Linked DNA regions of Danio rerio. The main gene of each other region encodes a partner of the protein of the gene in region 2 in a complex. Links are inferred from orthologs where the notes say so. Each region holds a gene or a part of one and is shown on either strand. Other genes may lie near its edges. The genes, in order: nog1 and bmp7b.

The links.
Region 1: the proteins of bmp7b (region 2) and nog1 are in contact, whole or in part, in a crystal structure (PDB 1M4U), measured with the Homo sapiens proteins. The link is inferred for Danio rerio from reciprocal best matches to the Homo sapiens genes BMP7 and NOG. Residues at the interface, in NP_001710.1 of Homo sapiens: Phe365, Pro366, Leu367, Asn368, Ser369, Asn375, Ile378, Val379; in NP_005441.1 of Homo sapiens: His29, Tyr30, Leu31, His32, Ile33, Arg34, Pro35, Ala36.

What each region holds. Positions count from the first base shown.
Region 1 is NC_133178.1:7,847,207-7,863,752, forward strand, and holds nog1 (noggin-1 precursor), read right to left. Parts: upstream 7,557-16,546; 5' UTR 7,416-7,556; coding exon 6,765-7,415; 3' UTR 5,414-6,764; downstream 1-5,413. UniProt on the Homo sapiens protein: Inhibitor of bone morphogenetic proteins (BMP) signaling which is required for growth and patterning of the neural tube and somite. Essential for cartilage morphogenesis and joint formation.
Region 2 is NC_133198.1:6,474,280-6,490,332, forward strand, and holds part of bmp7b (bone morphogenetic protein 7b precursor), read right to left. Parts: intron 13,838-16,053; coding exon 13,689-13,837; intron 9,063-13,688; coding exon 8,859-9,062; intron 8,077-8,858; exon of another isoform or gene 7,999-8,076; intron 3,508-7,998; coding exon 3,431-3,507; intron 1-3,430. UniProt on the Homo sapiens protein: Growth factor of the TGF-beta superfamily that plays important role in various biological processes, including embryogenesis, hematopoiesis, neurogenesis and skeletal morphogenesis.

The DNA.
Region 1 (16,546 bases), on a different chromosome or scaffold from region 2:
TCTTTGTGGACCTTTAATAACCTTTCCTTTTTAAAGTCATTAAACAACAGTGGTTTGTTCAGAAGCCAATCAGGAAAAAAAAAAATCAATAAGTCAAAAACAAAGTGTTAAATCGAAGTCAAAACTCAAGAAGACATAAAAGATATGCAGGTCATTTACCACAGCTTGATCAGTAAATCAACATGCAAATGTGTCCCTTTATTTCTGAAAATAAAAATTTTGAAACTATTTTTTTTTTTGTACAATCAAATAAAGGACTTTTGCTGTTCAAACCACTGACATTAAATGAGTTGAAACACAATTATACATTTTTGTAACAGCTTAATTGCTTTATGCTCAATCCACTGAAATCTGTAAAAAAAACAAAAATAAAAAAAAACATTAAGTGAACTTAATAACTTGGTGTTGGGACAACATGAAGGATTTCTGTTGAAGGCAGGCTTTTTAACAGTGATCTCACATTAGTTCTTAGAACCCTTTTTCCACAGATTGGTCTGTGAATAAACGACTTTTGTTGCTTGTTAAAACTTTGCATGTTGATTTACAGATCAATCTGTGGTAAATGACCTGCATGTCTTTTATGTCTTCTTGAGTTTTGATTTCGATTTAACACTTTGTTTGGGTCTTGTTGATTTTTTTTTTTCCTGATTGGCTTCTGAACAAACCACTGTTGTTTAATGACTTTAAAAAGGAAAGGTTATTAAAGGTCCACTAAGAATCTTTGACATCAATGGAACATTTGCATTCCACAAAAAAGGAAAAGGGTTCCCACTGAACTAATGTGACAGCACTACACTGTCATTTTACTGAGCATTTTTTGTTAAAACTAGTCAATTTCAATGAGCATTTTATGCTCAATCCACTGAAATCTGTAAAAAATAAAAATAAAATAAAAACATTAAGTGAACTTAATAACTTGGTGTTGGGACATCATGAAGGATTTCTGTTAAATGCAGGCTTTTTAACAGTGATCTCACATTAGTTCTTAGAACCCTTTTTCCACAGATTGGTCTGTGAATAAACGACTTTGGTTTCTTGTTCAAACTAGTTACTTTAAACTTGTTGAACGACGACTCTTGTGACAATTTCATTGTTTAATGTTCGAATTTGTGAAAACAAGTAGGCTTATCAATTTGTGCTGGTTTTTTTTACAGTGTAGTGCTGTCACATTAGTTCTTCGAGAACCTTTTTCACCCTCTTTGTGGAATGGAAATGTTCCATTGATGTCAATGGTTCTTTATGGACCCTCCGATGCCAATAAAGACGCTTTCTTTCAGTCTGCAATCACCAATACCCTTTGGCCGGGACACATCCATTTAAACGAAGCCCTGTGTGATTAGTTTGCCCAAGCGGCCGTAACAGCGTCCTAATCAGTGCAGTGTTTGGATAAAGCGCTCTTCTGCAGGGGTAAACAGAGCTGTATTTGATGCTCTTTATGAGGGCTGTTTGGCAGGGTTTATTCCTCTGTTAGACTGGCTCCATGCTCTCGGAGGGAGGCCGGCCCTCCTGCGGGGCTGCAAATGGGCGGGTGGCAGTGCAAAGAGATGCTCTCCAGCTGCTGCCTGGGCTTTATCTGCCTATAGGACGTTACAGTAGACGTTAACAGGTCCTCAATGACCATCATCATGCATCTCCACCCCACAATAAAAAAGCTGGTGATAAAGAGCTATTTTCACCGCTTATCAGATAAGCGGCGGTTTTTACAGACTGCAAACTAACGCGCTCATTAGCGTGACCCGTCAGCTCTGTTAACACCCGTGATGATGATGTGAGAAAGTTTTGCCCCATGTTATGTGTGTTTGTCCAGCGTGCCGTAACCTTTAACCCAGATAGCGCCTCCAGAAATGGTTTAACGAGATGAAACGAGCAAATTAACACATGCAGGTTCTCCGGCCGATGAATGTCACGAATTGTTTGAATTAATTGATGCGTAAAATGTGGCTAATCTGCTTTTGGAGAGGCCGTCTGCTGAAACGCACAACGCATAATCTCCGCTAACACGTCGTAATAACTTTCATTAAGGAGTCATTAGGATTTATCAAACAATGCTAGCTGGCTGATCAGGAGTTTGAATGAATATATACACTACAAAAAAAGAGAAATAAGATTAAAGAGTGTGTTTTACAAGAAAACCCTTTCAAAAAATGCTTGTTGTTTCACTGATTGTGAAATCTACTAGCAACTGTTTGCACTTAAATATTTGAAGAGGATTTTTTAAAAATAAATACACGCATTAAATACAACATTTTTTCCAGCAACTGCATTTTATTGAACTTTTAATTATTAGAATGTGCTAATTAAAACAACATTTATTCACAATGTACAAAATAAAGTCGCTTCCATTTTAAATAATCAGAATAAATATTGCTTTAATTAATGCAAAAATAAAATCTAATCATTTAAACTAGTGAATAGTAACAGTTTTTAATCGAACAATGCTTGGTGACTGATCAGATGTTTGAATCACAATGTACACTAGAAAGAAAAAGTGATTCAGAGAAAACAAAACCAAAGGTTGTGTTTGACAAGAAAACCCTCTTCAATACAATTGTATGTTTATGTAATTGTCATTTCATCGTAACTGGTTGTGAAACTTACTAACAATTGTTTTCAATCCATTTTTTTCTTCTTACAATATTTATTTTAAAATAACACATGAATAAACGCATGCATTAAATACAAAACTTTTCCCTCAAGTGCTCTTTATTTAACTATTATGATCAGAATGCATTAATTTAAACAATATTTATTTTGATTGTGATAAATAAAATCTATTTACAATGCTTGGTGACTGATCAGATGTTTGAATGACATTATACACTAGACATCAGAGTTTCAAAATGAAAGAGTGTGTTTTACAAGAAAACCCTACATGTGTGTGTGTGTGTATATATATGTATATATATATATATATATATATATATATATATATATATATATATATATATATATATATATATATATACACACACACACACATACACACACACACACACACACACACACACACACACACACACACACACACACACACACACACACACACACACACACACACAGAGAGAGATACATAGCGAAAAATTGTGTGTTAAATGAATTGCCATTTCATTGTAACTGATTTTGAAATATACTAGCAATTGTTTGCACTCTTGTTTTTTCTTCTTAAAATATTTATTTTAAATAACAAATATATAAAATACAACATTGTTTTCCATCAATTGCATTTCGTTGAACTATTAATATCAGAATCAGTTCCGTATTAGTCAGAAACAATATTCATTTATTCATTTTCCTTTGGCTTAGTCCCTGATTTTTCAGGGGTCAACACAGCGGAATGAACCACCAACTTATCAAGAATACGTTTTACACATGTATGTCCTTCCAGCTGCAACCGAGTACTGGGAAACACCCATACACACTCATTCACACACATACACTACACACAATTTAGTTCATCAATTCACCTATAGCGCATGTGTTTGGACTGAGGGGGAAACCAAAGCACCCGGAGGAAGCCAACGGCAACACGGGGAGAACATGCAAACTCCACACAGAAATGCCAACTGAGCCAGCCGGGATTTGAACCAGTGATCTTCTTGCTGTGAGGCAACATAGCTAACCACTGAGCCACCGTGTTGCCTACATTCAATTATCAGAATATTGTTTTAATTAACACGTTCTAAAAATAAAATAAAGTGAAATAGTTAATAGCAAAAATAAAAAACAATATTCATTCTGATTACTCTGAACAGGGCCCTATCAGCAGGTCAGTTGCTGGAGGTCCCCAGATCCAGGTATAAACAATGGGGCGATCGTTCTTTTGCAGTGGCAGGTCAAAAACTGTGTCACTGTTTAAGGTTAAACTTAAAAGCTATTTATTTAGACTTCCTTTTGATATTCGTTAGTACAAAATGCTGTTTTATTGTTTTATTGACACATTATTCTGCATGTAATAAATACTGTATATCTATTACATTAGAATAATTAGATTAAATATTGTTTTAATGCATTCTAAAACTTAAATAAAATCATTTCAAATAGCTAATAGCAAGACAACAATATCTATTCTGATTATTCTGAATTTAATACATATATTGCATTTGGAATAACCAGAATAAATATTGTTTTAATTAATGAAATCCAAAAAGATATAATAATTTGAAATGGTTAATTGTAAAAAAAAAAAAAAAAAAAAAACGATTTATTCAGATTATTCTGAATTCAATACATGCTATATATTTATTACATTCAGAATAATCAGAATAAATTGTTTTAATTAATGTGTTCTAAAAATAAAAGAAAATCATTTGAAATAGTTAGTAATAGTTCAATTAACTGCGATTATTATTTCAAATTATTTGATTTTATTTTTTAAAAACATTAAAACATTACATAATAGCATTATTATCTTATTAAAATATTTTATTTTATTATTATTTCTAATTATTTGATTTTATTTTTTAACATTATTACATTACATAATATCATTATTATCCTATTAAAATATTTTATTTAATTATTATTTCAAATTATTTCATTAAATTTTTTAAATACATTATTACATTAAATAATTACATTATTATCTTATTAAAATATTTTATTTTATTATTATTTTAAATTATTTCATTTTATTTTTTATACATTATTACATTACATTATTACATTACTATCTTATTTAAGTATTTTATTTTATTTCATTTATTTTTTAAATACACTATTACATATTGTCTTATTAAAATATTTTATTTAATTATTTTTTCAAATTATTTCATTAAATTTTTTAAATACATTATTACATTAAATAATTACATTATTATTTTATTAAAATATTTTATTTTATTATTATTTTAAATTATTTCGTTTTATTTTTTATACATTATTACATTACATTATTACATTATTATCTTATTAAAATATTTTATTTTATTATTATTTCATTTATTTTTTAAATACATTATTACATTACATAATTATTATCTTATTAAAATATTTTATTTTATTTCAAGTAAATGCATCAATGTTAACCAGTATATATAAGAGATAAGACAACTGCAATAAGACAATTGCATAAAAAGTATTGTGGTCGGACTGATTATAAAATCCATTAATTTTATTAGTACTATAACATGCAAAAAATACGCTTACATTAACCAAACTGAATCTATCTTCAATTCACACACATAAACCTCACATTTAGGCCTAAATATAGTTTGATTACTGTGATCTGCATTATTATGTGATGTAATAAAAAGGCTCCACACGGGCCACTGTGAGCATCAGCATTGGTTGCCTTGGTTACGGGGGCCCTTAAGCCAGGTGAGAGCATGTCATGGTAAATTAGGAGACCCTCTTTGAAGTTTCTTTCATGAGAAGAAACAAAGGCAGAGGAAACAAAAAAAGCTCAAACCATTCGTTGTGTTTGATATTTTATTATCTGAATATAAAGAATAAATAACAGTTCATCTTAATTTACAGGATAAATCGTCTCCGGCCGTCACAGCATGTGAGACTTTAAAAAAAAATTAAAAATCCACAATAAATTTTGAGGTCGTCGAATCTGTGTGGGAAAAAAAACCTTATAGACATCTCAGACAGCTCCATTCTCTGCAATATAAATACAACCCAATATTTTCCACAATTACAGTAGACTCTGGATATTACTACACATAATACTGGCTAGATCATTACATGATGGCACGACATATACAGACAATACATTCCTACACATGATAGTGCATACACAAACGAAAGGGAACACTTGCATGACAGATATTAATATAAAACACAACGCTGAGTCATCAGTTATCAAATCTGAATGTGTGAGCTATTGATCTGCACAGCATTGTGTTTAGATGAACATTGCCTTATTATTTACTCTCCCTCATGTGGTCTTATGTTGAACACCAAAAGAAGATATTTTGAAGAATGCTGCTGGCACTTCGATAAAAAAAAAATAGTATGGAAGTCAATAGGAGCCGATCACCAGCATTCTTCGAATTATCTTCTTTTGGGTTTAACAGATAAAACTCCAACGGGTTTTTAGCAAGTAAACAATGACAGAATTTAAATATGTCTGAAAATAATGTTTAAATGATCTAAAATTAATATAAAGTGTTTCCAAAACACAAAATAAAAGCTTTTCTTAACAAATCCAGAGATTTGTATAAATAATGTTCTCTTTTTTTATAAAGTTCTTCCAGAAATGTGAATTTTAAATATGAGATATATTTTGTACAGTCGTGTCTCCATAATTTAAGTCCAGCAACATGCATTAATGTGCTTCACATCAGAGTCCAGAACCATATCAGGAGCTCTATTATGGGTTTTCTGAATGAGCGGCCAGTTCACCCATTTACTTCCATTGTAAAAAATAAATACTATGGAAGTGAATGGGTGCCAGCTATCAACATTTCTCAAATTATCTTCTTTTGTGCTCAACAGAAGAAACTCAAACCTGTTTAAAACAACAAAATTAAAATCTTTAATCTCTTTAAATGACTTAAAGTTAATATAAAGTGTTTCCAAAACACAAAATAAAAGTGTTCATAACTTAAATCCAGAGATTTGTTTTATAAAAGATGTTCATGTCTGAATTCTCTTCTTTAGAAAGTTCTTCCAGCAATGTGGATTTTACAAATATGAGATACATTTTGTACAGTCATGTCTCCATAATTTAAGTCCAGCGATATGCATTAATACGCTTCACATCAGAGTCCAGAAACGCATCAGGAGTTCAATATTATAATGTTTTTTATTTCTGCTGGTCAGTTCGCGCATGAGCATTTGCACTCTGTGATGATGGGATACTGCACCGGTATCCACGCGCACTTGAGTGCGCCTCTCCTCGCCACGCATCTCCAGCGCAGCAGCGTGATGTGTGTTGATTTGGCCGGTTTGCACACCATGCCCTCCGGCACCGAGCATGAGCGCTTGGTGTAGCAGCTCCCCGCGCGCACGAACCGCGGCCAAAAGCGCGAGCCCAGGTCATTCCAGGCGTACAGCACCGGGCAGAACGAGTAGGACCACAGCCACATCTGCAGCCGCCGCTTCAGCTTCTTGCTGGCTTTGCGCTTTTTGCCCCACGGCGCGTCAAAGTCCAGGTTCTTGATGTCTTTGGGCATCATCCCGGCGAGGTTCAGCTGGAGCTCCTGCTCGTCCAGGTCCTCGTTCCCCGCGTAGCGGTCCTGAGGAGGACCGACCGACAGAAAGCGGCTGTCAAAGTCCCCGAGCGCGCTCCTCAGCTCGGTCTCGTTTAGATCCTTCTCCCGCGGATCGTAGAGCGGGTCCGGGTCCTCCTTCAGCTCCAGCAGGGGTAAAGTGTCACTCGGGATGGGTCTGAGCAGGTAATAGTGCTGGCACTGTGCGAAGGAGAGCAGCAGCAAGTACGCGGACAGCAAACACCGCGGGAAATCCATCCTTTTGAAATCTTCATCCAAAAGCGAGATCGGAGATTAAACGCGGGATTTATCCGTGCGTAATTCCGTGCATATCTGATGTCGAGGTGTGGTAAATGCGTGGGAATCGTGAGAAAGCATCACGATTGAAGGAGCCCCGCGTCTGAGTGTTTTTTGGGAATGCCTGACTCTCACGCGCGCGCCTCTGATTTATACACGCGCGCCCCTGTGATGCAATACACTTCTCTCGCTTTTTCTTTTTTCTCAATGTGAGTTTGTTTGCAGGAGATTCCCCGACACTTCCTTTCAGACTCAGATGAGCAGGAGGAGGAGGCGTGGCTGCAGGCGCTCGGCGTTTGACGCCCCCTGTCGGACAGTTTTCTAACTGATGTCCAGAGGCGATGTTTTTTTGTGGTGTCTTTAAATTTTCACAACTTAAATCCAGAGATGTGTGTTTAATAAAAGTTTATGAAAAAAAGTGTCAGAAATCACTTTTTTATTAAAATCTTGAGAAATGTGAGTTTAAAAAAAAAATTGACACCAACTTTAGGTTTGTATAGCACCTTCCCAAATAGGGTTACATTACCCAATGCACTGGGTTAAATCATTTATCCCAATGCATTGGGTCATTTTGATTAAATGTTATTTTCTCCATTCTGGGATTACTATTACTATTCCTACTATGAATTCCTAATTATGGCATTAAATAAATGAATGTCTCCGCTGGGTCCTAAAGGTTAGAATCCGGGAGCGCAGAGATGAACACGGGAGGTGGAGAAAGGGATTTAGTATTGATCGGCTTTAAAGCTCTCAGTATCAATAATTAAAAACACGACATGGAGAGGTCATTTAATAAAAGATATAACAATATCATTGTATTAAAGCCTTAATAAACTTTAGAAAGCAAAAACAACATTATAAATGCATATTATTACAGCTGTTCTGTGTCAGTCAAATCAGTTGACTGTTGAAACCCAAAACTGTAACCCAACTGGTTGAGTTGTTATATAAATAACCTAATAAAGGTTAAAAATAACCCAACAAAGCACCAACCAATTTGTTTAACTCAACAATTGGGTTAAACAAATAACTCAAGGTTTTTTAGAGTGTACAGTCATGTCTCCGTAAGTCCAGTGATATGCATTAATAAGCAATGGGTGCCAATGGGAGTCAATGGGTGCCAGCTACATTGTAAAAGACGCAGGGTTTATGCTGGAAACACATTTTTGGGTTAATTGTGCAGGGTCAAAACTGCTAAGTTGTCTCGGGTATAGGGCTGTGCAATTAATCGGAAAACCGATTTCGATTTAAATTTTGGCTTCTAACAATTATGAAAAACCATTAATCGGTATAAGCGATTATTGCATCATATACTGGCCCCTTCTGTTGCTCTTAAAAGCGCAAAAGACCGCATGATTCTGAGTGTGTGTGCGGCACACACACACAGTCAGAAGCATGTGGTTAGCATTCCGTCTTATTCGCACACTGAGCTGTGCCGAGCGCACACACCTTAAGTCATCTTAATGTGAGCGTTTAATGGTCAAATAGGTGTCAAAACGTGGAGTTTAGTAATTATTCATATTAACCCTCATTTGAGTAATAAACAAAGAGTTGAAAATCAAAAGACACGTGAAAGAGAAACCATTAAAGTGACCGTGCGCAATATCCCTGATGCCACCTGTTTTTATGATTATTAATCAAACAAAAGGAGAAGCTAAACTGTTTGGCTTAAAAGTGTTTTTCTTACAGTGAAGATGCTTAAAGCTCAGTTTATTTCATATTTTTATACTATTGTATTTATTTCGCATTCCTTTGCAGGGTGGAAAAGAAATATATATATAAATATATATATATAGTTGCAGATGCAGACAATCAAAAAATATATAAGGGGGCTAATATTATTGACCTTAAAATGGGTTTCAAAATATTTAAACCTGCTTTTATTCTAGCCAAAATAAAACAAATAAGCCTTTCTCCAGAAGAAAAAAAATATTAAAGGAAATACTGTTAAAATTAAAAAAAAAAAAAAATCTCAGGAGCGTTAATATTTTGACTTAAAAATAATAATCGTTTTGAATAATCGTGATTACAATTATGACCAAAATTATCGTGATTATGATTTTTCCCAAAATCGAGCAGCCCTACTCGGGTACTGGTTGCCCAAGCTTAGTCAACCCAACTGAAAGGACAGTAAAGGCTTCTCTCACCTTTGAACATCTGGGTTTGGTTATTTTGACCCAACTTCTTTATTAATTGTTCATTTTTCTATCTGGATTCATCACAATTTCAGATGGAGCTTGCGGCAAGCATTACAAGGTAAATAAAATGACATATACAGTGGTCTCTCACTATAAGGTTCACCTTTTGGGCCACACAGTTTAGCAGATTTTATTTACTGCAGTTTGACTTGGTTTTGTTTTTTGTTTTGCTTTGTTTTTTACAGTGCATTGAGTTCTGCGTCCTGATTGGCTGTAGACCACTGTCAATCAATCTATTCCATGTCTCCTAATCAGTACACAATGCATTCAGCTTGCTAAATTAACATAAATCTTTATTCGCTAGCAATGTAACTTTCAACAAGGATGCAAAAAGGGTTGTAACGCCCCATTCACATGGGGCGTCAGCGTCAACGCTTCCTATTCACATTGAATGGGTGATGTCAGGTGTTGCCGAACTGCATTGTGGATCCGTCGGCACCGCTTCAGAGACGTTGCTCGCTGCAGAAGTTGGGACTAGCTTAACTTATCAAGCGCCGATGGAAGTGTCAACCAATCAGATCGCTGTATGCAAATACACCAGCTAGACAGTGGCCTATTGCTGACTGAATTTCATTGGCTGACGCTGTTATGACGATCGCTTCAGCCCCAACTTCAGACACACCTTCAGTCAAGCGTTGACGCTGAAGCCCCATGTAAATGGTGCGTATCTGTCCTCAGCAAGACCATTGTAAAGGAGACTATCGTTATTTGCATTTTCCAAACCGTCACAACGTTTTCTGGTATAGGGGTGTGTTAATATGTTCTACAATGCTGCACTGAACTCAACAACAAGTTCAATGTATCCAGTTTAATTTGCAACCGTGTTTCCTTCAATCAATCTGTCCATCATTCCTCCCATCCTCATGATATGAGTTCAGACATCTGAACATCTCTGAATAAACCCAGTATACAGTAGATGAGCCCACATTATCTCTGTCTGCTTGGCACTTGGAGAAGCACAAACACACAAGTGTGCTGCTGAGGCTGTGGGGAATAAAGCCATAAAACACTCCGTCTAGAGTCATCCAAAATGAACATCTCCCACCAAGCCGGCGCGGCGGAATGCAGCTCGAGACTGACAAACACAGAGGAGCTGCATGGAAGAAGTGAGCTGTGCATAAAGCAGACGCGCAGAGAAATACATCTCTGTTTCTGTGTGAATGAGCTAATTCACACTTCTGCTGGAGAGACGGAGAGAGCGAGAGAGAGACACAGAGAGAGAGAGAGAGAGAGAGAGCTGAATCAGACAGCAGAAGCAGACACTATTGTCAGCACTCACAAAACACTGAACACACCTGTGCACTGCACCCTGCTTCATTAGAAAACACTTAATAATAACTATTCAGACTCACAAGACCTGTAATTAATTTATTACAATCAACAACTCAATCAATAATTCATAACAATAATAAAAATGAACAATTAATCCATCCGTCTATCCATCCATCTGTCTGTCCACCTATATCCATCCTTCTGTCTATCGATATTTCTATCCGTCTGTTCATTTATCCATCCATCCATTCATTCATCCATCCATGCAACTGTCTGTCAATCCAGCTATCCTTCTGTCTATTGATATCCAACCGTCCTTCTGTCCATCTATATATTTCCATGGGTCTGTTCATCCATCTATCCATCTATCTGTCTGTCTGTCTGTCTGTCTGTCTGTCCGTCCGTCCGTCCGTCCGTCCGTCCGTCCGTCCGTCCGTCCGTCCGTCCGTCCGTCCGTCTGTCTGTCAATCCTGCTAACTATCTGTTTGTCCATTCATCCTTCTCTTCATCTTTTCTATTTATCCATCCATCCATCTAGCTGGTTTATCCATCCATCAATAAATTCAACTGTCTGCCCATCCATCCATCCATCCATCCATCCATCCATCTATATACATCCAGTCGTCTGTCAATCTATATATCCATCCCATGTATCTTTTCAATCCATCCATCCATCCATCCATCATCAATATTAATTTATCCATATTTTCTATCTATCCATCCATCTCCTTCCATCTATCCATAATTTCTATCAATCCATCCATATTTTCTATTCATTCATCCTTCCATCTGTTCATCTATTTATCCATCCATCCATTTCTCTATATATCTATCTAAGCCATCAATCCATATATCCATATTTCTATTTATCTATCTATATTCCAACTTTCCATTTTTCCATCCATCCATCTATCTATCTGTTTATTTATCTATCCATCCATCTGTCCATCTAAATATCCATCCATCCATCCATCCATCCATCCATCAATCCATATTTTCTATCCATCCATTTATCCATCAATCCACCTTTCTATCCATCTGTTCATCTATTTATCATCCATCCATTTCTCTATATGTCAACCTTTTCAAGCCATCAATCAATCCATCCATATTTCTATTTATCGATCGATATTCCAACTTTCCATTTTTCCATCCATCCATCTATCCATCCATTCGTTTATATACCTATTAATCCATCTGTCCATCTATATATCCATCCATACATCTTTCCTACTCCATCCATCCATCCATCTTTCTATCCGTCTGTTACTCTATTTATCCATCCATCCATCCATTTCTCTATCTATCATCTATCCATCTTTTCGAGCCATAAATCCATCCATTCATATTTCTATTTATCTATCTATATTTCATCCATCCATCCATCCATCTATCCAATTATCTATCCATCAGGTCAAAATATACATCCATCTGGTCAATCCATCCATTCATCTATCCAGTATATCTATCTATCCATCCATCAATTTGTATGATCTATCCATCCATCTGTCTGGTCTATCCATCCATCCCTCCATTCCACACAGGACTCACTCACCTGCTCGAAAAACCCAAAAAGAGTTTGTGGAGTGTGGAAAGATCAGCATTTGTCTTTGGTTAACCTCACTGTCTGTCACATAAACTGACTTGATTCTCTCCAGGAGTTTAATCACAGTCAAAATACATAAATGCTGATGCATCCACCCGTCATATTCAGAGATATCGGAGTGTTTTCATTTCAACTCCTGCTAATGCTTTTGTCATCCACTGCTGCTCTCGGCTCATGGTGGGTTTTGTCATGTCATGAAACACACCAGAACCCTTCAGTTACAGAAACTTTATACACAGCTACTAGAACACACACACACACACACACACACACACACACACACACACACACACACACACACACACACACACACACACACACACACACACACACACACACACACACACACACACACACACTTATAGAGAACAAAAGGAGGAAAGAAATCTTCAGAAAATCTTACACAATGGAATTAAACACTGAATGCATCTAAAACACACACAATTAGAGCATAGAGTGTAAGAATAACAGTTTCAAATGAAGAAAACTACAAAAGTTAAAGTTAAAACTAATATAAATAATTATAATAAAGTTTGTGTGGGCCAAAATTCTAATTTAAATAAATAAATCATATTAATATTTAGAAAAAAAAAAAACTTCTAGCAATCCTATAGAACTACAATTTTTGTTACATAACCGTAATAATAACTGTAAATTGACTTTCCCAGAATTCCCTGCATGGCACATCACTTTTTATGCACTTGGTTGACATTAATATGGATCTTTTTAGTTGTTTTCCCATCAGTTATGTACATTAGAGATTTATGTTACATCTAATGTTGATAAACAATGTTTATTTCATGACTTTAATTTTATGCATGTTACCATACTGGTGTTTAGTAGCTGTGTGAATGACACTGAGCACCTTCTATATGCTGATACTCTTTTCTGCTTGTGGGAAAAGTTGATTGTGATGAGCATTGGCTCATTTGGTAACTTCATCACCACCTTCTTCATGTGGGTGTGCTAACGTGTCTAACTGTGAAACAAAAGATGTGTAAATGTTGATCATTCAAAATACAGACATATTACCTCTATAAATTAATAAAATACGGTAATTTACCGTAAAAATGAAAAATTACTTTTAAGGTTTGTTCTGTGTTTTTAACGGTAAAGTACTGGCAACCACAGCTGCCATTTTTTACCATAAATTTTACGGAATTATTTTTTACAGTATATATATATATATATATATATATATATATATATATATATATATATATATATATATATATATATATATATATATATATATATATATATAATACATTTCTAGAAGACTGATCTTGTGTAAAAAATAAAAATAAAAAACAATTTCCACCAATGCCGTCGAATAATTGTTTAAAATAAACAAAAAAATCATATTCTATAGAATAAACTTTTTTCACTGATGAAATTAAAGAAAGCAAAAACAGCTTTTAAAATATGTATCTCTTTGTATTAATAACATTTGAATGGCCTCAGATTCCCAAATAAATATTAAAATGTTTAGTTAAAGTAGGAACTGCTTTTCCATAGTATAAATCCAATTTGAATCGCCAAACAATGCTGAACAACATGTATTTTATCAATTATATTTCAATATTTAAGAAAATACCAATCCCAGCAATTCTAAAAAAATGACACTTGTAAATATAACAAACACACTTTACATTACACTTATGAAACTTACACTAATACAGTAACAAAAGTGAGTACACCCCTCCTACTTCTGCAAATATTTATTTATAACTTTTCATAGGACAACACTGCAGAAATGACTCTTTGACACAATGAAAAGTAGTCAGTGTAAAGTGTGTATAGCAGTGTAAATGTATTGTCCTCTCAAAATAACTACAAATACAGCCAATAATAACTGAACCATTGGCAACAAAAGTGAGAACACCCCTAAGTGAAAATGTCAAAATTGAGTACAATTAGTCATTTTTCTTCCCCTGTTTCATGTAATTCATAAGTGTTACACTGTCTCGGGTATTCACAGATAGCAGGTGAGTTAAATTTAGTATAAAAGCTCTTCCACTCTCTCAACCAGGCCACTGAAAGTTCAACATGGCACCTCATGGCAAACAAATCACATTAAGCCAATTATATATAAAAAAAAGAAAACTAACAGAAAAGCGCAGACGAGTGGGATAATGGCATCTGCTGGTTCAGAAGCATGATTATAAGCAGAAGCATAGGAAATAAATGACATCAGTACATAATAACCTGTTATGACTATTAGTAGGGGTGTGACGATTTATCGTTGTACGATTTATTGCGATGCAAAAATGTCTCAATATGCAGCGTGGCGTTATGACGATTTGATTACGATATGACGTCCGTTTTCTCTTATTAGTTGAGCTGTTTGCACGTGAGCTACATTCCACCTGCTGTCGCACGTGAGTTCAGATTGCAGCAGCAGTAATGTTAGCAGACCAAGATGAGTGGAGCTGAAATGGAGGATGGCCCATCCTCTCAAAATCAGACGTCTGGCAACATTTCGGTTGAACAGTCATTGCTTTAGACTCGTCCGCTTTTTGACACGCATACTGGGTCAAACATCCTAAGTTTTAAAGTCTTCACAGTGAATAACATACTTTGCACAGCGACAGGGATACCTCCTAATGGTGTTGAAAGAGTCACATACTGTATTTATAAGGTACAATTCACCCTAAAATATCATTCTGTCTTCATATAATGTTCCCGCCGCAAAATCACACATGACGTGAGCTGACCGTGAGCTGTTACTACAGAGGGCGGACTTTGATAGACGCGCGCGTATGGCAAGCCGTTTTAGCATTTAAACCTTTGTTCTGACTATCCATAAATATATTTAGAGATATCTCTAATTATATTTTGACAAGTCATAATTATAATTCGACTAGTCAGAAAGAAAATTAGAGATATCTGCAATTACAATTCTATCGAAATCAGTACGAAATCAGATTCTAGATATCTGCAAATATATTATGACTAGTCATATTCCTCCATTGACTTCCATTGAAAAATATTTGCAGATATCTCTAAATGAGTTTTGACTAGTCACAATTGTAATTAGAGATATCTCTAAATGAATTTAATTAAATAAGAATTAAATACCTGGAAATGTGGATTTTTTTTTTTTTTTTTGCACACACAAAAAACGCAAGTGACCAAGCAAAGCCTTAAGCTCTTACTGTTAAATTCAATTGAATAGAAAGCTTTTTTTTTTTGAACCTTTACTTAAATTGTTTCTTAAATTTGTCTCTGTCATTTCAATAATATTTTTAAGAAGTTTTTAAATTGTTTTATTTTCCAGAGACAGGCCTGTTTAATTTATTTTCTTAAAGAAGGTTCAGTTTAACAAGTTGAAACAAAAGAAATACATAAAAAATAGTTTACTTGGTAAAATTTGCATTTCAGTTTAATTTTCAATTTTTATTCCAATTATCGTGATACACATCAAATCGTGAACATTATATCGTGATACACATCATATCGTGAGCTGAGTGTATCGTTACACCCCTAACTATTACTGAACCGATACCAAATTGTCCGAATTGTTTATATATATATTAAGCGTGTAACGATACGCGTATTCGCATTGAACATAATAACCGTTCGGTACAAGACTTTCAGTTCGGTACGCATTACAAACCGAACAATTTGATTCAGACTACCATCTAAAAAGATAAAAGAGAATAAGTACAAAATATAATGTTTCAAGTGCAACAATGCTCAACATGGCATCCCAAATGACGTGGCAGACAACATGCTACCTTCCTGCTGTCATGTTAAACAGTAGACCATCGCTTTTAAACTCAGAATATCACTTTATTATGCACTCGTTAGCAATCTTTCTGACTTCTGTGTCAACCTGCTCGTGCTGGCTCCGCCCCCGTTGCCCCAGCAACCCTGGCCCCGACACAGAACAGCCAATCTCAATAACCTGTTCACATATCACCACAGGCACACACCCGTCCATGTCCAAACACTACTCTAGTCAGGCAGGCGCTACACTAGCTCGCAAAATGGTAACGTTAATGTAGGCAAAT
Region 2 (16,053 bases):
TAGTGATGTGAGGACCGATTCTTGGAATGCATTATGACTCTAGAATTGCTTATGAGCTTAGTTTTAGCATCCATAACAGATGGTGCTCTATGCTAATTTTTAACAGCAGATGGCACTCTTGGCTAGTTTTTAACAGCAGATGGATCTCTAGGCTAGTTTTTGATATCAGATTGTGCTCTAAGCTAGTTTTTAACAGTAGATTACGCTCTAGACTAGTTTTTAACAGCAGATAATGCTCTAGACTAGTTTTTAACACGAGATGGAGCTCTAGGCTAGTTTTTAACATCAGATGGTGCTCTAGAATTGTTTTTAACAGCAAATGGTGCTCTAGGCTAGTTTTTAACAGCAAATGATGCTCTAGACTAGTTTTTAACAGCAGATAATGCTCTAGGCTAGTTTTTAACAGCAGATGACGCTCTAGGCTAGTTATTAACAGCAAATGATGCTCTAGACTAGTTTTTAACAGCAGATGACGCTCTAGACTAGTTTTTAACAGCAGATGATGCTCTAGACTAGTTTTTAACAGCAGATGACGCTCTAGGCTAGTTATTAACAGCAAATGATGCTCTAGACTAGTTTTCAACAGCAGATTACGCTCTAGACTAGTTTTTAACAGCAGATGATGCTCTAGACTAGTTTTTAACAGCAGATGATGCTCTAGACTAGTTTTTAACAGCAGATGATGCTCTAGACTAGTTTTTTTAACAGCAGATGATGCTCTAGACTAGTTTTTAACAGCAGATGATGCTCTAGGCTAGTTTTTAACAGCAGATGATGCTCTAGACTAGTTTTTTTAACAGCAGATGGAGCTTTAGGCTAGTTTTTAGGAATAGATGGTGCTCTAGACTAGTTTTAATAGAAGATGATGCTCTAGGCTAGCGATTAACAACAGATAGATGGTGGGCTAGGCTAGGCTTTAAAAGCAGATGGTGCTCTTTAGGTTAGTTTTTAACTCTACACTCAAATCTTCAAGAATAAGAGTCTAGGTCATTTGTTCAAATGTACTGTACCTCAGCTTTTATGCCGTGGGATTAATGTAAACACTGCTCACTATGAACACTCTTGTAATTCTGTCACCCCAAATTTAAAATGTACACTTGGAAATTATAGAAAATATAATTAATAGTTTGTCAAGATAAGTTCAGGTTTAAAAAAAGAAATGTAAAAATGTAATAAAAGCATACAATGCCTAAACATTTGCATAACTTCATAAATGGTTATTTTAGGTTCAGGTGGTACGAGACAGAGTATGGCAGATAGTTCAGAGTCAGAATTGAATCAACAGAAAAATCGCAATGCATTCTGAAAATCAAACTCATATTATCTCAATGCATCGATTTATTGCCCCAGCCCTAATCCTAATTCACCCCAAATAGTATTGTCTTAATCATGTTAATGGCAGAATATTGTTATCCATGTAAACATGCTGTGTAAAAACTTCAAAAGTGAATCAGAGGTAATATAAAGCCTTCTGTTATAGCGAGGGTCTCTGAGTCCCGTCCAGCTGTTCAGAGCCAGTGTTTATGTGTGTGATCCAGCAGAAGAGACAGATCTGCTACAGGTGGCAGGACTGAGGGTGTGTAAACAGAAAGGAGGCTCTGCTGTCTCTGCTCGTGCTCTTGAGGTAATGCAGCCTAATGGAGCTACACACACTCATAAAACGGCTTGAGCCATAAACACACAGAGAGATAAAGAGGAATGTGGAGTGAGATGGAGAAGGACCAGAGCTAACAGAAGAAAACTGCTGGGGGATTAAAAGTTTTACAGATTATGAAGAAGATTTCTATTCTCTCTGTGTGAAGTATTTTCTAAGTGTAAAGCAGTTAATTTTCTCTTCTCAAAATGTATGTAGTGTTTGCAGCAAACATGCCAGCCTGTGTTAAAAATACAGTGATATGTCTGTGTAAGATGAGAGTGCCTGCACAGAAGCAACACTAGGAGAAGGCTGAGTGACTGATTGTGTAGAATAACTGAATATGTAAAGCACTGATTATATATGTTAAATACTTCTATGAAGCTATATGTGTCAGAAGTTAGAATGAGTAACATATTATCAAGTTATTATGCTTTCATGACAATGTATGTAAACACTTAGTTCCTTTGCATAAGTTGCATCTATACTTTGCTGACATAGACCTGTAACATCTCTGTTGACATGAGGTAGTGGGCTGAGAGCCAAGAATAGCAGGACCCCTTAGACTAAAAACCTATTCAAAAATGGTCAAGAGTTAAAAAGAGACTTAGGGGTGTGTCAAATAATCCTGTATAAAAATTGTAACAAACACAGATACTTCAGAAGGTGCAGGAGAGACTTCAGAAGGTGTCCAGGAGAGACTTCAGAATGGTCTGGGGTCTGCTCTGCTCTTTCTCGGCTTTATTATGGAGAATAAAGTCTATTTTCTGATATTCAAAACCTCCGGTCTGATAATTTGTAATTAATGAGAAGTCAATATTTACCACAATTACAATGGCTTTTGGGATGAAAAAATCTTCTCTCCGTTAAACAGAAATTGTGGGGAAAAATAAATGAGGGGGCTAATAATTCTGACTTCAACTGTATATGTTTTTGCAAGTGTCTTGTAGAAAATATTAATTTAAAAGAGAAATCTGTGAGAGATGTACTCAATTATACTGAGCAGCAGTAAAAAAATAACAAATATACAGTAGTGGACAGAGTTCTGAAAAAATCATACTTAAGTAAAAGTACCATTACTTGCTTAAGTAGAGTAAAAGTATCTGTTGTAAATATTACTCAAACTATCAGTAAAAAGAAGACTTTTCAAAAGTACTCAAGAGTAGTGAGTATTACCCTGTGAAAAGCTGATGCATTTACATGTAATTTGTGGATGTGTGTAAACGTAACATTCTGTAGTGCATTTAGTAGCAGGCAGACAACGTCATATGATGCTAATATTAGGTTAGATTTAGAGTGTGATGTCAGGTGACCAAAATTCAATATCTAGCCAGTGTCTAATGACAACATTATTTTGATTGATTAATTTTGATTTGATTGATATTTGGTTGATTTTAGGTAGTGGTGCAAAGTGACCCAACATCTTAAACCAACGTCATATTGACATCAAATACTGACATTTATTAATCAGGTATGGCCACCAAAATCCAACGTCTGATAGACATCATCATGGCCGGATTAACGTAAGGGATAGGTGGGAAGAAGGGCCCATGGAAGAAGGGGGCCCTTGATTGGCTGAAGAATTAATTTGCGATATGACGCGGGAAATGACTCATCCATTATGCTTTTTCTCGTCAATAATGGGAAGTATTCCTTTCGGTTTGCTGCTTTACAGGAAAAACTACTCTACAGTAATTTGAGCATTTGTTATTGTCATTTTACACCACTGCAAATATGTAAAAGAATAGGTAAATAACATTAACAAAATCTAATATTGGTAATAGACGGTTATCATACCTGCCATCCAAGGTCTCGAAAACTGACATACAGCTCATGTTTCTTACAGGCCTGCTTCTGGTCAGCACTGCTGTTTTCTGAAAACAAATAGAGATACAGAATTTAAGAAACCTCAATAGAAATGGTCATCGCTGGAGATGAAGTGCAAACCTGCAGAAGAGTAAACTATTTGCCAATATAGTCAGTCTCCAAACAAATATATACACAGTGCTCAGCTATAAATAAGTGTACCCCATTTTGAAAATGAATATTCGTATCTGGCAGCGCAGTAGGTAGTGCTGTCGCCTCACAGTATGAAGGTCACTGGTTCGAGCTTCGGTTGGGTCAGTTGGCATTTCTGTGTGGAGTTTGCATGTTCTTCCTGCGTTCGTGTGGGTTTTCCCCACAGTCCAAAGACATCCGGTACAGGTGAATTAGGTAGGCTAAATTGGCTGTAGTGTATGAGTGTGAATGAGTGTGTATGGATGTTTCCCAGAGATGGGTTGCAGCTGGAAGGGCATCTGCTGCGTAAAACATTTGCTGGATAAGTTGGCGGTTCATTCCGCTGTGGCGATCCCAGATTAATAAATGGACTAAGCCGAAAAGAAAAGGAATGAATGAATGAATATATATTTGTATCCATTGCTCAGTGAACAGAGGCAATGTATTTTGGTGCATTTAAACAAACAGATGTATTAAACAGATATATTCAGTAAATTAATATTTTGGTCACCAAACATATTTAGAAACTGAAAGATAATACAATTAAAATCAAGGAAAGTATTGCAAAAATAAATAACACAATTTCAACTACTTATTTATTTATTTATTTGTTTATTTTTTGCTTCTCTTGATTTTTCCTTTTTTAAAAATTTGTATTTAATATTTATTTATAACATAAATTTGGGTGTACTAGTTTTTGGACCGTTATCATTAGTTATTTTTGTTAAAAAAGCTCCAGATTTGGCTTCAGAACTGACTAATCTCAAATCTAATGTCAAATAATATTGTAAAGCTTCCTGTAAAAATATGAATTTAAAAGACAGATATGTGAGGGGTGTACTATGTACGTATGCTGAGCACTGTTTATATTTAAAATAAAAACACAAGTTCGGTCTCACTTTATTTTGATGGTCTGTTTGTTGAATTTAGGTTACAGTGCATCTACATTCCAATTAATTCTCATTCGATTTGAAGTAGACTGTTGGGGTTAGGGTTAGTGTAAGTTGACATGAACTTGCAAAGTTTCTTATAGTCAGTTAAATGTCAGTTTAGGAGGAGTATCAACAGATATTAAGCAGACAGTCTGCTAATACTCAAATGGACCATCAAAATAAAGTGTTACCACAAGTTCTACACTAGAACTTTGCCAAAATAAAAGTTTAGTAGATGTATGCATTTAAAATAAATGGTTGATCTCCTGTGGAGCTACATATTATTGATTCATCTGTCCCACACGGGTGCAAATTAATCAATAAAATTCTATTAATCTTTATTTTTATCATGTAGATTGTGCCAAAGCTTAACACTGATAATGAAAAGGGCATAAAAAGCCTTACAATAGCTCAGATTGTAGCAGAAGAGTAATAGAATGGCCAGACTGGTTTGAGCAGATAGAAAGGCAACAGTAACTCAGATGACCACTCGTTATAACAGAGGTATGCAGAAGAGCATCTTTGAACACACAACATGTCAAACCTTGTAGCGGATGGGCTACAGCAGCAGAAAAAACATGAAACATGAAAGTATGAATCCATCCTGTCTTGTATCAATGGTTCAAGCTAGTGGTGGTCGTGGTGGTGGTGTAATGGGGGGGGGGTATTTTCTTGGCACACTTTGGGCCCATTAGTACCAATTGAGAATCTTGTCAACACCGCAGCCTACCTGAGTATTGTTGCTCACCACGTCCATCTCTTTATGACCACAGTGTACCCATCTTCTGATGGCTACTTCCAGCAGGAAAACCTGCCATAAGCTTGAGTCATCTCAGACTGGTTTCTTAAACATGTCAATGAGTTCACTGTACTCAAATGGCCTCCACAGTCACAAGATCTCAATCCAATAGAGCACCTTTGGGATGCGGTGAGACATGACATGGATGTGCAGCTGACAAATCTGCAGCAACTGCGTGATGCTATCATATCAATATGGACCAAAATCCATATTTTCCAGTATCTTGTTGAATCTATGCCACGAAGGATTAAGGCAGTTCTGAGGGCAAAAGAGGGTCCAACCCAATACTAGTAAGGTGTACCTAATAAAGTGGCCGGTGAGTGTATACCTTACTTATAATGTGTGAAAAAGTGCTAAAGCCAACACTAAACTGTGAGGAAGACTGAGAAATATGAGGACTAGGTCACCGAAGTTGTCCAGATTCCTTGAAACCCTCATATACCTATGCAGTACACTGACCCAAATTCATTTAATAGCCATTTAACACTGTAATGTTATTACTGTGCAAAATGACCTGCAGAGAATTACACACTAATAGGAACCACATGAACAGACACAGAAACGCACACATTTTATCTCCAGTTCTCTTTTGCCTTTAAGGAACAGTTCAGCTTGAAATTGAATTAAATTGTTTTCATTTAAGGGCATGTTGAGGCAAACCTGCAAAGCAATTTTTTCTTTAAAGTCCCTGTAAAATCAATCATTATTTTAGATGTTAGTATCAATATGTTAGTCTTGAAATAAAGCTTGAGAGCTCCAAAACAAAAACAAAATTCAAATTTAAAGGACAGCATTCAAATCCTGCAGTTTCTCCCTTCCTCCAGAGTGGCGCCCCCATAAAATATTCTTAGGCCACACCAAATCTTGGGGTGGCACACAAAAAAAAAAAAACTAATGAATTCAGTTTAATGTTATATGTTTGTTTCTGGTATATGAAATAATGTGGTTTTAATTAATTTAATTAATTACTCAAATATTGTAATTTATTCAACAACAGGAATCAGTCCAAGGCACTCGAAAAAAATTTGGAAAATTTAAAAAGCCTTTATTCGCATGGCTAAATCTTTAAAAACCTAAGCGTTTAGGCAAGGATCTGGCTCTATTAGGGTAACAGTCATCGTCTGCGTCTAAAGCAGGGGTTACCAACCCCTACTCCTGGAGAGCTACCTTCCAGCAGATTTAAATTGCAACCCTAATCAAACACACCTGTCTGTAATTATCAAGTGCGCTTTAGGGCCTAATTAAATAGCTCAGGTGTGTTTGATCAGGGTTGGAGCTGAATTCTACAGCAAGGTAGCTCTCCAGGAACAGGGTTGGTGACCACTGGTCTAGAGTCTCTCTTGAGTACTACGGTCACATGACTCATTTAAATATCTCAATAACACTCAAATAATTTAACAAACAAAGTCAACTATCATCATTAATTTGGCATAGATAGAGGGTGACATATAACCATACACAGACATTTACTTGCATATATGAGAAAAAAATATATATAGAACTAATAAACAATGATGTACAGAAAAAGCTAATCTGCACTGATTGGTCCGATGACCCAGTCTGTTGGGGTTGGTCGACTGCGTTCAGTGGAGACAGAGAGAAATGCCCACTACAGCTTATAAACAATTTTGAAGTAGTCAGAGTGCAGAGTGTATGTGTGAGTCAAATGCAGGAGTACATTAAAGCAATGCTGTTAAACACCAACATATTACTCTACTCTTTACCCAGACACACATTCAGAATTAAACCACACAGTGGCAAAAGCTGAACTATTTTAAAAATTGACTGCTGTACGTGTGTAGGAACAGCTGATAGTGGCCCAAGCCACGAGAAAAGAAAAAGCTTACGAACGCATTTATATCCAAAAAATAACGAACGGTAAATTAAAGAAATTTGTAAAAAAAATAAAATAACGACCATTAAATTACAGAAATTTGCCATAAAATGACAAATGTTAAATTACAGAAATTTGCTATAAAATAATGAGTGCTAAATTACATAAATTTAATGTAAAATAACGACCATTAACTTACAGAAATTTGCCAAAAAATAACGAACGTTAAATTACAGAAATTTGCCAAAAAATAATTAACGGTAAATTACAGAAATTTGTAAAAAAAAAAAAATAACGACCATTAAATTACAGAAATTTGCCATAAAATGACAAATGTTAAATTACAGAAATTTGCTATAAAATATTGAGTGGTAAATTACATAAATTTAATGTAAAATAACGACCATTAACTTACAGAAATTTGCCAAAAAATAATGAACGTTAAATTACAGAAATTTGCCAAAAAATAATTAACGGTAAATTACAGAAATTTGTCAAGAAATAACGACCGTTAAATAACAGAAATTTGTTGTAAAATAACGAACGTTAAATTACAGAAATTTGCTATAAAATAACGAACGTTAAATTACAGAATTTTGCCATAAAAAATGAATGTTAAATTACAGAAATTGCCCATAAATTAACGAACGTTAAATTACAGAAATTTGCTATAAAATAACAAATGTATAAATTTTAGTCATTAACTGTAAAATAACAACCGTTAAATTACAGTAATTTACCATAAAATAACGAACGTTAAATTACAGAAATTTGCTAAAAAATAACGACCATTAAATTACAGAAATTTACCATAAAATAACGAACATTAAATTACAGAAATTTGCCAAAAAATTACGACAGTTAAATTACAGTAATTTACCATAAAATAACGAACGTTAAATTACAGAAATTAGCCATAAAATAACGAATGTTAAATGACAGAAATTTGCCAAAAAATAACGACCATTAAATTACAGACATTTACCATAAAATAACGAACATTAAATTACAGAAATTTGCCAAAAAATTACGAACATTAATTTACAGAAATTTACCATAAAATAAAAAATGTTAAATTAAAGAAATTGCCATTGAATAACGGTTGTTAAATTACAGAAATTTACCATAAAAACCAACATTAAATTACAGAAATTTACCATAAAATAACAAACATTAAATTACAGAAATTTTCCAAAAACTAACGAACGTAAAATTGCAGAAATTTCTTTAAATGTAAACTTCTGGTAAATTTCTGTAATTTAACATCTGTTATTTTATGGTTATAGTATTATATGGTATTTAATGTTTGTAATTTACCGGTTATTATTTTACATTACAAATGTAAAATTACGAATTATTTGTACAGTGTATATACTTGTTTTGAAACAGTATTTTTTTTTAAGTAAGAGCATTAAAAATAGTATACAGTGTGTATAAAAATATATTGTGAATTTGCAGTACACTACAAGTTTGCATAATAACTAGTGTCATACTTCAGTACACTTCTTTTCCTTTAGCATATATTATAAATAATGGTTTTTCCATATATATTTTTTTATTTTCGGGGTGGCACAGAACTATACTAAGTGCCTTTCTCTCAGTTTGGTCTTACTATATGTCTTTCTTCACCTGCCTCCTTCAATACACGTCAGCCACACACACCTGCAATATTGGCTACACGCAGCGCCTCCTGGCCCTTGGCGGTTTTGGAGCGGTTGGGATTGCGCTGCTTGTTTCCGCCCTGAGCGGAGCGGATGCTGCGGATGTGGACCTCCGTGGCTTTGAAGAAGGCCACCATGAAGGGCTGTTTGCTCTGAGGGCCACTGCGCCCCACCAGTCCCGCCACCCAGGGGTTCACACTCTGACCTGCAGGGGGAGACAGAGAGAGATTTCACAGTTCATCATTTCACAACAATCATTTATGATGCTGAGATAATAGAGGAGAGAAATACATCTTGAGATTGTTAGTGGAAATGTTGACAGGTACAAATCCATGAGGGAAAGTACTACTGTAAAGTTATACAAGATCTTTTTCATCTGGATAATGGGTGACAAACATTTTTAGTGTGAGTTTGAATCGGATATTACTGTGGGTGAGCAATTTCTGCAGCAGAATATATTGACTTCTATCATGAATTTGTAATTGCAACTTTACATCAAATAATTTTTGTTAAAGGGGAACTATTATACTTCTTTTTACAAGATCTTAAATCTCTGATGTCCCTAGAGTGCGTATGTGAAATTTTAGCTCGAAACATCCCACAACTAATGTTTTACAACTCTTTTTCAGACCATGTGTGCCATTTTTGTGATTGTCACTTTAAATTAAAAAAGGGATTATGCTCTTTTTAAAAGAGGGAAGAACATATCCACGAAAGTAAAATAAAAAGTAAAATAAATAGAAAGTAAAGAGGCCAAATGGAGGAGGATCATTCTTAATCCTTGTGCTGCAGATGCTCTGTTTAACTGTTTCTCGCTAGTGAAGCGTTAAGTTTTTCCACTTACAAAGTACATCATGTAAATAGTAAATGCGACCTTACAGCTATGTAACTGACTCTTAAAGGGAATGGGAGTTGAGACTTTGATTGGTTTAATGTACGTTATGCTCAAAACACATATAACTCAATAAAATAATAAGCAGAATTGTATTTTTCTGTCCTTAAAGTAGCAAAAGTAGATTTGGACACACTCCTAATGTTTTTGCACCATGCGATTTATGCTGTGCTTACACTAGACGGGAAACATGCAGATAAATTGCGCTATTCACACGTCAAATCCGCTTCATTCGCACATCAAATCCGCTGCATTCGCACGTCAAATCCACTTTATTTGCACTTCAAATTCGCACTTCAAATCCGATTCACTCGTGCGTCAAATTCACTGAGCAATAAACGCAGATTCGCGTCATGGGCAGGGATTCTTTCAGCTCAGTGACTGTAGCTTTCTTGTTAAATGCCTAACATGGATTTTATTGAAAGAACAGCTGTGTTTATGCGCTTTATGAAGGCTGAAAAACATTCATTCATTCACTTATTTTCTTGTCAGCTTAGTCCCTTTATTAATCCGGGGCCGCCACAGCGGAATGAACCGCCAACTTATCCAGCAAAGTTTTTACGCAGCAGATGCCCTTCCAGCCGCAACCCATCTCTGGGAAACATCCACACACACATTCACACACACACACACTAATACACTATCGACAATTTAGCCTACCCAATTCACCTGTACCGCATGTCTTTGGACTGTGGGGGAAACCAGAGCACCCGGAGGAAACCCACGCGAAGGCAGGGAGAACATACAAACTCCACACAGAAACGCCAACTGAGCCGAGGTTCGAACCAGCGACCCAGTGACTTTCTTGCTGTGAGGCGAACATAAAAACTTGCTAGATAAGTTGGCGGTTCATTCCAGTGTGGCGACCCTGGATTAATAAAGGGACTAAGTTGACAAGAAAATGAATTAATTATTATTATTAATGATCTTTCAAATGCAAGACTTCTTGAAGGAAATGAATGCAGCATGCAGAGTTTTGAACACTGGAGAGTCTCTGTTAAAAGTAGTGAGCATTTAGAATTGTGTTTCTAGAGTTTTGACAATTGATATCAGGTTTCTGAAATTTGTGGCAAAACAATAAAAAAAAAAACTGTAAATGAACACAACTTTGTAAGAGCATGTGTGTGTGTGTGTTCTCCAAGAATATGCAACTTCTCATGTTTATTTTGTGTAATCTCTCCCACTCTCAAAAGAGCTTTTAGTTCCCTGTTTACTCAGAAAATTCCAGCACTTACATCTGTTTCTGTGCCATTCTGGACTCCTTTTACCTACACACCGGCTTTAATGTGTGTGTGTGTATGTGTGTATGTGTGTGTGTGTGTGTGTGTGTGTGTGTATGTGTGTGTGTGTGTGTGTGTATGTGTGTGTGTGTGTGTGTGTGTTTCTTAAAAAGAGGCAGGAATGCTCTTTCTGTCTCCGCGCCGAGGTAAAGCTGGGTTGCCGGTTGCCTACAGCGGCAGGGCAGGCGTCCCGCTAGCATGTCTCGACAGGCTCGCTGATCTACGCGAGCCCCATAATACACTGCACCTGTTTTCATGCTAACACTTAAAACCTGTAACATCCTGTACACACACACACACACACACCTTCTTACTCACAGAGCTACGCTACAAAACGCACTCCCACTGCGGCTGGAATGAAGTATGAGAGTGAGAAAACACTGGAGCTTCAGCTCTGTATCACTTTGAACTTCTTCAGACTAAGCTCTGATCTCAGACTAAACTCCAGCGTTTTCTGTGCAGCTCCAGACTAAATCAAGACACTGCAGGTGGATAGAGGGAAAACATCACTAGATTTCAATGTACATGTGCAGTTGACTGATTACATATAGAATTTATTTTTGTAGTATGTTTTCTTAAATGTTAAGTTTATTATGCAAATGAGCCACTGCTTTATTAAATACCAGCTAATTTGCATACAATTGAAGTCAGAACTATTAGGCCCCCTGAATTATTAGCCTCCCTGTTTATTTTTTTCCAGAATTTCTGTTTAATAGAGAGAAGATTTCTTCATCACATTTCTAAACATAATAACATCATAATGACAGTAAATAATATTTGACTACATATTTTTCAAGAGACTTTTATACAGCTTAAAGTGACTTTTAAAGGTTTCAACTAGGTTAATTAGATTAATTAGGCAGGTTAGGGTAATTAGGCAAGTTATTGTATAATGATGGTTTGTTCAGTAAACTATCGAAAAAAAATGCTTAAAGGGGCTAGTAATATTCACTTTAAAAATGGTTCATAAAAAATTTAAAACTGCTTTTATTCTAGCCAAAATAAAACAAATAAGAATTCTCTAGAAGAAAAAATATTATCAGACACACTGTGAAAAGGGCGACGCAGTGACGCAGTAGGTAGTGCTGTCGCCTCACAGCAAGAAGGTCACTGGGTCGCTGGTTCGAGCCTCGGCTCAGTTGGCGTTTCTGTGTGGAGTTTGCATGATCTCCCTGCGTTCGCATGGGTTTCTTCCGGGTGCTCCGGTTTCTCCCACAAGTCCAAAGATATGCGGTACAGGTGAAATGGGTAAACTAAATTGTCAGTAGTATATGAGTGTGTGTGTAAATGTGTGTGTGGATGTTTCCCAGAGATGGGTTGTGGCTGGAAGGGCATCCGCTGTGTAAAAACTTGCTGGATAAGTTGGCGGTTCATTCCGGTGTGGCGACCCCGGATTAATAAAGGGACTAAGCCGACATGAAAATGAATGAATGAAACACTGTGAAAACATAATTTAGGAAACATTTAAAAAAGAAAAATCAAAGGGGGGCTAAAAATTCTGATTTCAACTGTATATATTTATAAATATAATTTTAGATGGGTAATAATTAATTGTTTTCAAAAATAGTAAAAAAAAATATAACGGCTTTTATTCCAGACGAATTAAAAGAAATAAGTCTTTTCCCAGAGGGGAAAAAACTATTTATAGAGTATCATTTATACTGTATAACAAAATGCATAATTTTCTTGTCGATTAGACATCATTGGGGGAATAGAAATTTGACAGGAGGGCTAATTATTGTAACTTACTGTATATGCCTGGTTCGGCTCAGCTGCCAAAACCGACTTCCGTAGACTACAGCGAATAGTCCGGACGGCTAAACGAATCACTGGCACTACCTACACTTCAAGAACTGTACTCCTTCAGAGTGAGTAAAAGGGCTCACAAAATCACTCTGGACACCTCGCACCCAGCACACTTCCTGTTCGAACCTTTACCTTCTGGTCGGAGGCACCTTATAACCTGTATATTTATCCATACAAATCCGTACATACAAGTCAACACTCAGATTTCTTGACAAACTGCATCTCTGTTTAATGATTATCGTCTTTTTTATTTATGTATTTTTTTTTTTCATATTTATTTTGTGTTGTCACTTGTCACTTTATGTACACTAGAAGCTTCTGTAGCCAAAACAAATTCCTTGTGTGTGTGAAGCACACTTGGCAATAAAACTGATTCTGATTTTGATGTGGATGTATGGGGAATAACTAATTTTGAGAAAACCACCTTTAAAAAATATGTATTGCAGTTTTAATCAACACAAAACAAAGGTTATGAAGCACTTAAAGGTTATATCTAAAAACGTAAATGCTTAACATTAAACTGAAAAGCACATTATGAAAGTACAAAAGCCCACTAAAGTGCACTGAACCACTTTGATGACGGACTTCAGCTAAGGCACTTTAAAATGACCAAAGCTACATTTACAAATCACATGACATTTTTGATGCACCTGCTGGAATCTATACACTTTTTTGCAGTAAATGTGTTTTCATTGTAATTTTTTTCTAAATTTACACACATCCTGGCATTCCCGGTCAGCATTTTTATGCAAAATTCCAAAATGTGCATGAAAATATGTGTGTGGAAGCATAGCGTGCTCTCTGCGTGCTCTCTGAATGGCAAATTTGTGAATGCATTGCTCATTTTGCTCACCGTCCAGACTGTCCAGAGCCAGCTGCAGGCCCAGGTTACGGCCCGGGTTCAGCACCCAGTGGTTACTGGTGACTGTGATGTCAAAAACCAGCCAGCCCTCTTCTGCTGCCCAGATCACCCGCGAGTCCAGCAGGAACAAATCTGAATCCCTGATCGACAGACAGAGAGCGAGATGATGATGAAGAAAAGACCAGCGTAACACATCAAACATATCACACAAATCAAGTCATTACAGCATGAAGGAAAGATAGAGATAACCTGTCAAATGACTTTTTGTGCATATTTTACATTCTATGATATTTTATATGAAAAATAAAGAGATAGTTCACCCAAAAATGAAAATTTACTCACTTTTTAGGCCCAATCCCAATTCTACCCCTTAGTAGAGGTCTGCCACTGGACCCGACCAGATTTCTGCGACGTGGGAATAAATTTCCGAATAAAGCGGGGGAGCGGTCGGTAACGGGTTTAATGTGGGACGGGAGTGGGCCGTCTAGCAATATTGCTCCCTACTCCCGAGCGAGCGAGCGAGCGAGCACTTATGTATGTGTCCAAATGAAACAGCGCAATGCTGTGTTTAGCTTGTTTGTTGCTGTGTGTGTGTGTGTGTGTGTGTGTGTGTGTGTGTGTGTGTGTGTGTGTGTGAGTGTGTGCACACGCGCGCAAATGAGAGAGAGAGCTTTGTCTTTGTGTGTGTGTGCTTGGTGCTTGTGTGTGTGTGCTTGGTACTTGTGTGTGTGTGTTTGTTTATACAGACAGCTTGTTATAAGCTGTATAGCTGGGTGGTTTTCAGTTTTGTTCTCCCCCCGCTCCTTAGCGGGATCGGGCGCAGCAGGTAGAAAATGGGGCGGGTCGGGCAGCAGGGCAACAAATGCTGAATATAAGTGGGAGTGGTCGGGTTCGGGCTAAAACCTGGCAGGAGCGGGATTAAAAATTTAGTCCCGTGCAGATCTCTACCCCTTAGCCCTTCCCCTTACCCCTACCCCTCAATTTGCGCGTTCAAACCATAGACTGTAAAATATATGGACGTAGTATCCGTGACGTCACCCATAGGTTTCTAAAGAGCGCAAAAGAAGCCACAAGTAGGCGTGGCCAACCGTCGCCATTTTGTTCGCGCGTCATCACACCGACGGCGGGATACCAAACATGGGCAAAGAGGCGGAGAGTGAGCGGAGCTACAGACGCATGCTGCATTTAGCTTGGACCTGGTTCAGACACCTGGTTTACTTTGGGAGAACGCTTAATACTTTATCACTTGTGACTCGTTTGTATTCTGACCACTTGTGCTTGGTTGTATACTTTATCAATAAAGTGTTTAGTCTTTTATAAACACTGCTGTAATACATTGAGCCACTAAACATTGTTCTTATGATGTTTTTCAACAGGAGGAAAACACGAATTACTTCCAAACACTTCAGATATAGTCTGTGTTTGTTAATGTAAGACTATTGATGAAATCCAGCATAACATTGTATGACAACGCTTCAGATGACTGTTCTACAGCCTACAGCTAATCAGTCTGACAGATTCTGGAGTGCATTACAGCTCTAAATATAAATATAAACGATAAATGATCTTAAATAAAACAAATACATGTATAGAGATGGTATATAAGTATATAACTTTACTCACATGGGAAACGGAGGCCACGTGAACAGTTTGTGAGCACAATTAAGTGCACTCAGCATGCCATTCCATCAAATAAATGTAGGAAACAAGTCCAAAAGGCAGTTGACTGTGTAAAGCCACATAAAACAACAAAGAAATACGATAAATATGCTGAGTTCAGTGGCTAATCTGCAGGATTCAGCTGAGGTGACGTGACGGCGACCAACGAGACCTAGCTGTCACTCAAGTGACCACGCCCTTAATTATGCAAACTTAATATAACTTAATATAAAGGAAACGGATGAGTTATAAAAAAATTCACCCCCTCACAGTTGTCATGAAGGGTAATATTAGCTGTATTAACCAAAATCTTTTTTTGTACCAGGCTGTAAACACCTTTTTTTCTGCTGTAAAGTTGGCCATTCTAACAGTGGGCTCAATTGAAATTTGCTCTGTTTTGGAGCCAGGAGCGGACAAGACTAGCGGAATTTCGGATGAATTGCAGTTTTAGTTACTTCCGTATTGGCTTCCTGAGAGAGAGCGGGAGGTTGCCGCTTGGTTCAAACTAAGGGGTAGAGGTATCCCTATTCTCTTTAGCTTTAAGGCGTAGGGCTAAGGGGAAGGGGTGAATACCCCTTCGAATGAAGATTAATCAGGACCTCACTCGAAACCAAGGGGTAAGAAAATATTCCAGGATACACCTGCCACAACAGCAGTATTGCTGAACCCGGAAGTAAGGTGATCCACAAATGAGTAT